Linked DNA regions of Callithrix jacchus. The protein of the gene in region 2 interacts with the protein of the main gene of each other region in a pairwise test. Links are inferred from orthologs where the notes say so. Each region holds a gene or a part of one and is shown on either strand. Other genes may lie near its edges.

Evidence for each region.
Region 1: the proteins of PADI4 (region 2) and ANXA4 interact in binary tests that used the Homo sapiens proteins (3 or more experiments, as listed by UniProt). The two-hybrid records come from large-scale screens. The link is inferred for Callithrix jacchus from reciprocal best matches to the Homo sapiens genes PADI4 and ANXA4.

What each region holds. Positions count from the first base shown.
Region 1 is NC_133515.1:44,085,745-44,089,561, forward strand, and holds part of ANXA4 (annexin A4), read right to left. Parts: intron 1,803-3,817; coding exon 1,707-1,802; intron 811-1,706; coding exon 752-810; intron 1-751. UniProt on the Homo sapiens protein: Calcium/phospholipid-binding protein which promotes membrane fusion and is involved in exocytosis.
Region 2 is NC_133508.1:54,197,148-54,201,064, reverse strand, and holds the start of PADI4 (protein-arginine deiminase type-4), read right to left. Parts: upstream 2,498-3,917; 5' UTR 2,493-2,497; coding exon 2,401-2,492; intron 1-2,400. UniProt on the Homo sapiens protein: Catalyzes the citrullination/deimination of arginine residues of proteins such as histones, thereby playing a key role in histone code and regulation of stem cell maintenance.

The DNA.
Region 1 (3,817 bases), on a different chromosome or scaffold from region 2:
GCAAGGACTACATTTTGTTTTGTTTTGTTTTGCTTTTTTTTGAGACAGAGTCTTACTCTGTTGCCCAGGCTGGAGTCCAGTGGTGCGATCTTGGCTTACTGCAACCTCTGCCTCTCAGGTTCCAGTGATTCTCCTGCAGCTGGGATTACAGGTGTGAACCACCATGCCTGGCTAATTTTTGTATTTTTGTAGAGACGGGGGTTTCGCCATATTGGCCAGGCTGGTCTTGAACTCTTGACCTCAAGTAATCTGCCCACGTTGGCTTCCCAAAGTGCTGGGATTATAGGCGTGAGCCACTGCACCTAGCCAAAGACTAAATTTTTACCTTTCCTGTACCTCTTGTGATTCTCAGCATGGCGCCTGCAGAATACGATGGTGGTTTAGGAATATGGGCTCTGGAGCTAGACTTCCGGGTGTTCGCATCCTTGCTCTATTAATTTCTCACTGAGAACCTTGGGCAAACTGCATATCCTTGCTATGCCTCAGTTTTCTCATCTGTAAATTGGGGGTTAATTGTATCAGCCTCATAGAGCTGTTGTGGGGATATAATTAATCTATTAAGAACAGTGATCCACACATCCTAAGTACTCAGTAAATATCACCTAGTATTATTATTAGCAGGCACTCACTGAAGTATTTGATGAATTGAATTGAATCTTTCAGGGTGAAGTTTGGATAGGGGATATAAGTAAGCTTAAGAAGGTGGGCACAAGATAACTCAAATTCATTTAGATGCTAAAAGGCCATTTACCTTCATCGATTTATAAAGCTTTTCAGCAAAATATGCAGATTTGTTCCTTATGCACTTTACTGTCAAAGAAAAAAAAGAAGAAATGAAAAGATTACAGATAAGATCCATGAAAAAAGAAAAGTGACAGTTGCTTCCTCTGTTTCTACAAGGTATCACTATTTGCTTTGCCAGGGAAATTTTAGCCAAGTGATGTTTCATGAACATAGGCTATGCTGTATGTATTTTCACAGATAGAAAGTACCCTCGATTTATCATCAAGTTTCTGGAGAAGTAATTGATAAAGTCTCTCAAAGCAAAGGGTGGTATTTAGTTTCAAAATAAGGATTACTGTCTCTGCCATATAAGACAGTTACTAGTTCTAACCATTCACAGACTTGCAAGCTATAGCTTGTATATCTGTACATTATTACCTTTCACATAGGACATATAAAAGCACAGAAGATACAAAATATACAAACCATGTGGCACAATAGCAGTCAGGTTGTATGTAATATTTCTTGTTTAAAAATCTGGAATGCAGGCCGGGCGTGGTGGCTCCTGCCTGTAATCCCAGCACTTTGGGAGGCCGAGGTGGGTGGATCACGAGGTCAAGAGATCGAGACCATCCTGGCCAACTTGGTGAAACCCTAGCTAAATAAAATACAAAAATTAGCTGGGCGTGATGGCACACGCCTATAGTCCCAGCTACTCGGGAAGCTGAGGCAGGAGAATTGCTTGAATCCAGGAGGCGGAGATTGCAGTGAGCTGAGATTGTGCCACTGCACTCCAACCTGGCGCCTGGCGGGAGAGCAAGACTCTGTCTCAAAAAAAAAAAAAAAAATCTGGAATGCACCATGAGTGAGTCAAACAAGTTTTGTCTCCGAAAATAATTATATAACCCTATGTGGCAAACCGATAATGAGAATGAAAAGCTACAAACTTTTTTTCCTCTACTCCCTACCTGCTACCAGCTTACCTATAGCCAGCAGAGCGTCTTCAAAGCTACCAGATGTTTCAGATTTAATACTTTGTTCAATATCCTTCTGTGATATCCTTTTGTATTCATCAAACACTGCAAACAACAATAAAATGGTATTATCAGGAATAAAAAATAGAGGAAACTAATATTTATGGAGAGAATGAGCATTTTTAACTAGCCTACACTATTTATTCTTTGGCATATTTCAGGAGGAAACTAATTAGTAAAGTGCGCAAGCACCCAGGAGGGATGTGCAGAGTGGAACAGGTCCCAGACAAGGAGGAAGAAATGCCATGATGTGTGCAGGACATCAGTCAAGTCCTTTTCCTTCTCTGGGACCCTCCCACATAAAATGGAGACAGCCTCTGGAGACATTTGCTTTCCTTTCTCATTGTTTCCTTAATAAGCAGAATGTGTCTTTTTGTGATTTTGGCATTGGCAATCACCTCCCCTTCATCTCCCTTTTGGCTCATCAAAACTAGAGCAATTCAACCTCTTCAAAAGTGAGTCATAGTTAATAACAGCTGGTTGCATCTTTTAAAATACTTAAACAATTACATTTGTTGGCTTTTTTTTTGCCAAGTATTTTTTAATGTGGTATGTTCCCCTCTCGTTGTCTCTTTCTGGAACCTTCTTAGAACAGGTATCTATTTTATCTTCTCACCATCGCCTTCTTTGGGGTGCTGCTTCACTTCCATCAGTGTGATTTTCACAGGGCTGTCATTCAAGAGACACCATACCCAATAACACACCTCTGCCAAACACATGAGCACTTCCCCCAGTCAGGACCCATTAGACTCTCTCCTAGGAACTTTTTAACTGGGCAGCTCACAGGGATGGCCAAAAGCACTGCCTCATCTTTACCCTCAGAAAAACCTGTTAAACTCGCTGGGTGTCATGCTCAGAGATTCTAATTCAGCCAGTCTCAAGCAGGGGGTCAAGAATTAGCATTTTTAGTAGAGAACAAACTTCAGAAACTCTGCTTTAGAAATAAAATACATGCCAGGTGCGGTGGCTCACACCTGTAATCCCAGCACTTTGGGAGGCTGAGGTGGGCCAATCAGCTAAGGTCAAGAGTTTGAGACCAGCCTGACCAACATGGAGAAACCCCATCTCCACTAAAAAATACAAGATTAGCCGGATGTGGTGGCAGATGTCTGTAATCCCAGCTACGCTGGGGGCTGAGGCAGGAGGATTGCTTGAACCCAGAAGGCAGAGGTTGCGGTGAGCTGAGATGGTGCCATTGCACTTCAGCCTGGGCAACAAGAGTGAAACTCCATCTCCCAAAAAAAAAAAAAAAAGAGTTAAAAGAAAAGTAAAAAAAGAAATGATTCCCTTCTGCTGAGACCCCCAGAACTGCCTTGCTTTCTGTTCTTCCTGAAGGTGGTCAGCTCTCTGTTCAAATTTGTGAGCTACCAGTATTTCCATTTTCCCTCTGTGTCGTTCTATATTATTTCATCTTTTCTTACTTAAATTGAAGTCAGTGTGTATAGCTTGGAATCAAAGAAATTAATTGACACATTTTCTAAGCCTCAGTTTTCTTCACTGTAAAATAGGGAAAATAATTACTGCTCCATTGAGTGGTGCAAGAAACAATGCTTATAATATGCTTAACACAGCACCTAGAAAATAGAACATTATTAACAAAACCTTAGTGATTGTGAAACCTCACCATTATTGTTGGTCAGTAAGAAAATCATGAAGTTTTCCTTATCCAAACAGTGCTTAAAACATTTTCTTCCAGTGGCTTACAAACAGAGGTATATATATTTTTTAATTTTTTATTGCATTTTAGGTTTTGGGGTACATGTGCAGAACGTGCAAGACAGTTGCATAGGTACACACATGGCAGTGTGTTTTGCTTCCTTTCCCCCTTCACCCACATTTGTCATTTTTCCCCAGGCTATCCCTCCCCAGCTCCCCCTCCCCCGCTGGCCCTCCCCTTTTCCCCCCAGTAGACCCCAGTGTTTAGTACTCCCCTCCCTGTGTCCATGTGTTCTCATTTTTCATCACCCTCCTATGAGTGAGAATATGTGGTATTTCATTTTCTGTTCTTGTGTCAGTTTGCTGAGAATGATGTTCTCTAGATTTACCCATGTCCCTACAAA
Region 2 (3,917 bases):
GTCGCACGCAGAGTTTTTAGGCACAGCTCTGGAATAGACACACACACTTCTGCAATCTACTCTGCCTCAGTGACCGAGGGGTCTTTCTAACCCCTGGGATCTCTGACTTTGGGGACAGAGAGAATGGCTTGAGCAAAGGTGTGGAGGTATGCATATGTGAGGTGGAGGTGAGGGGAGCGTGGCCCTCCCACCTAAATGGTTCGGGGAAGAGGGTGATGGCTGCTCAGGAGATGGGAGGGAGGCACTGTCTGGGACTATGTTAAGAACAGATAAGTGACAGGAAGGGCTGGAACCAGGACCCATGGGAAGAGAGGAGGGTCCCGGGGTCAGGCTGCCTGGGTTGAGTCCTGGCTCCCCTACTTACTAGTTGTGTGGCTTGAGGTGGGTTACTTAACTTCTGCAGCCTCAGTTTCACCTTCTGTAAAATGGGAATAACATTACCTACCTCACAAGACTTTTTATTTTTTTTTTGAGACGGAGTTTCGCTGTTGTTACCCAGGCTGGAGTGCAATGGCGGATCTCGGCTCACGGCAACCTCCGCCTCCTGGGTTCAGGTAATTCTCCTGCCTCAGCCTCCTGAGTAGCTGGGATTACAGGCATGCGCCACCATGCCCGGCTAATTTTTTGTATTTTTAGTAGAGATGGGGTTTCACCATGTTGACCAGGATGGTCTCAATCTCTTGACCTCGTGATCCACCTGCCTCGGCCTCCCAAAGTGCTGGGATTACAGGCTTGAGCCACCGCGCCCGGCCCCAAGACTATTAAATGAGTTGTACATAGGAAGTATGAAGGAAATATTAGCTGTTGTGATGTGAGATGTTCAGGGGATAGAATGACAGGGCTCACTCTCTGGCTGAAGGAGGAGAAAAGAAGGATTTCAGTCGGGCATGGTGGCTCACGCCTGTCATCCCAGCACTTTGGGAGGCCAAGGCAGGCGGATCACTTGAGGTCGGGAGTTCAAGACCAGCCTGTCCAACATGGAGAAACCCCGTCTCTACTAAAAATACAAAATTAGTCAGGCGTGGTGGCACATGCCTATAATCCCAGCTACTTGGGAGGCTGAGGCAGGAGAATTGCTTGAACCTGGGAGGTGGAGGTTGTGGTGAGCCGAGATCGTGCCATTGCATTCTAGCCTGGGCAATAAGAGCTAAACTCCGTCTCAAAAAAAAAAGAAGGATTCTGAGGCACCTGTGAAATGGGCAGTGCCTTCCTCTCTGCCCAACCCTGACTAGCTCTCCACCCACCTCTCCAGGGCTGGAGGAAGCACTTGTGACCTTGAGCATTACTCCCCCACACTGGGTAGAGGGCCAGCCAGAGCATGCTGGGAGAGGCCCTAGACTAGCTCCAGCCTCTGTCATTTCCTCCACACCCATTCTCAGAGGAGTTGGGGGTGCCTCAAATGATGTTGGATAATTTTCTTTTTCCTTTTTCCCCCAACCTCTTCATCTCCTGCCTCCCCCAGGTGGCCCTGGTGGAGGCACCCGACATTTACTACTGTTCTCTGGCTGCTGGGGCTCAGTCAGCAAGTGATACTTGCAAGGAACTGTCCCTGACACTCCTATGGGCAGCATTCTAGGGCCATCCATGCTCCGTCTGGGATGGGGAAACCGGGGGCAACCACTCCTGTTCCTGACACAGCAATGAGAGCAATGGCCCTGCCCACTCCCTGACAGCATTCCTCTACCCTCTTGTTTAACCCAGACCCTGCCACAGGGCATGGGACACAGGATTTGTTAAATGAGTGAATAGAAACTACTAGGGATGGGCCCAATGGTGTGCTAAGTATTCAACCAACATTTGCACATTTTTTCACATTGAATTCCTATAACCACCCCTATCGTGAGTATTATTCTCATTTCACAGATGAGGAAACTGAGGCTCAGTTGCCCAGGGCCCCCCTGCTAGCCAGCAGCAGGGCCAGGCTTCCTACCTCAGTCTCTGCCATGCCAGAGCCCCATTTCACCACCCCCACCCACGCTATTACGCACCCACTGAGGGAGGCTTGGCTAAGAGGTGTGGGGTAACAAGCTGTGCTGTGAACCAGGAGGCCCAGGGCCTAGCCTGACTTCCAGGGACACTTGCTATGTGACCTTAAGCAAGTCACAGACCCTCTCTAAGCTTCTGTTGCCTCAAAGACAGTAAGGCGGAGGGCCTGATTTGCCCCATAATAATTTATCTGTGGTGTGGTCCTGGGGAATTTGCACTTGTACATGGCAAAGAACCCACTGCCATGAGTCTGGTACTTCCCAGGGCTGCTGGGGTCTTATCTCTCCAGCTGCTCCTCTGGCAGTGGCTGCAGAGGCTGGAGCCTGAGCCAAACACATGCTCCTGTGTCAGCAGAACTGGCTCATCCAGCATCTCCTGACCTGCCCCCCAAACCCCAGAAGGTCCCCCTCTCACCTGCAGACATCAAGCTGATTCACAGTGCCCAGCACACACACGGCATGGGTGGGCTCCTCTGGGGACACACGGATCAATGTCCCCTGGGCCATCGTCTGGCTAGCTTGTCCCTCTGGCTGTAGGAAGCCCCTGGTCTGATTCTTTTATACCGCCCATCGGAGGCTATGAGTCAGCACCTGCGGTCGGTGGCCCAGAGGCTCAACCCCTCCCCACTCAGCTCAGGGATGTGGGCTCTCAAAATCACCTCTGCCCTGGGGCTGCCCCTTGGACCTCCAGATATGCTGGTACAGTGGCAGGCTGGCTTTGTCAGTTTCCTGGGAAGGACGGATGGCTGAGAAAGGCTGGGGTGGTGAGTGGGGCTGAGGGGCTGGGTCCCAGTCCTCGAGCCCATAGCCCCATCCCTGCCTGGAGACCCTGAACACAGATCTGTCCAATCTCACCTATGTCAAACAGGGGAATCGGAGAGAAGGGGAGAAAAGCAGGGAGATCTTAGGTAAGAGGTCACAGCCCAGGCTACACGTTCAAAGACCAGCCAGGCTTGGGACAGGTCCCTCCACCTGGGCCACCCACATGACAGCTCACTTCCTTGGTGTTTCTTTACACCAGCAGGTTTTCCTGCACTTCACATGGAATAGCTCATTACGACTAACCTGTGAACTAGGTAGTACCATTATCCTCTTATTTCACCCTCACAGCAGGCCTCTGACGTTGGTGCCATTGTTATACCCATTTTACAGAGGAGGAAACGGAGGTGCAGAGTGCTGACACAGCTCGAGAGTGGTAGAGCCAGAACTGGAACCAAAGGTGTCCAGTTCCAGAATGTGAGATTCATTCGTTGCCTGTCTACATGACACACGCTTTTCAGACTGTATCATGGCGACATCTCACTACACTACAAGGTATGTGTGGGCTTATTATTGCAACCCATTTTACAGAGGGAAAACTGAGGCTCAGAGAGTAGAAGTGACTAGGTCTTGCCCAAGGTGCCAGAGCTAGCTTGTGGCAGAGCTGGGAGGAGGAGATGAGCTTCCTGGCGTGGACGCTGATGTTCTCTGCATTCTCCAGGACACCTGCCTCCTGCCAGGGCCTCTGGGTGTTAGATCACATAGTGAGCCACCCTGCCAGGGGGACGCCCATGTGGCCACAGAGCTATGGTTGCACCTGGGCCACCGGTGCCAGGCTCTGCCTTGGAATGGGGCAATTGGGGGGTGGTGGAGAAGTCCCAACAAGGAGCACTAAGAGGGCGCATGCATGGGGTCTGGCCTAGCTTCGAGCATTTGGTGGGTTGGAGATTCTGCATTCATTTCTGTTTGCTTGCTTTGGCTTTGAAGCAAATAATTTGCCTCATTAATTCAGAGCCAGGCCCTGGGGTCAGGCAGACTTCAGTTCAAATCCTCCCTCATGTCAACATCCCCATGGGGTGGGTCCTATCGTGATACCCATGTGCAGATGAGGCCACAGAGACTTAGAGAGGTTGAGTGAGACCCCCAGGGTCCCACAGCCCTACAGTGGGTATC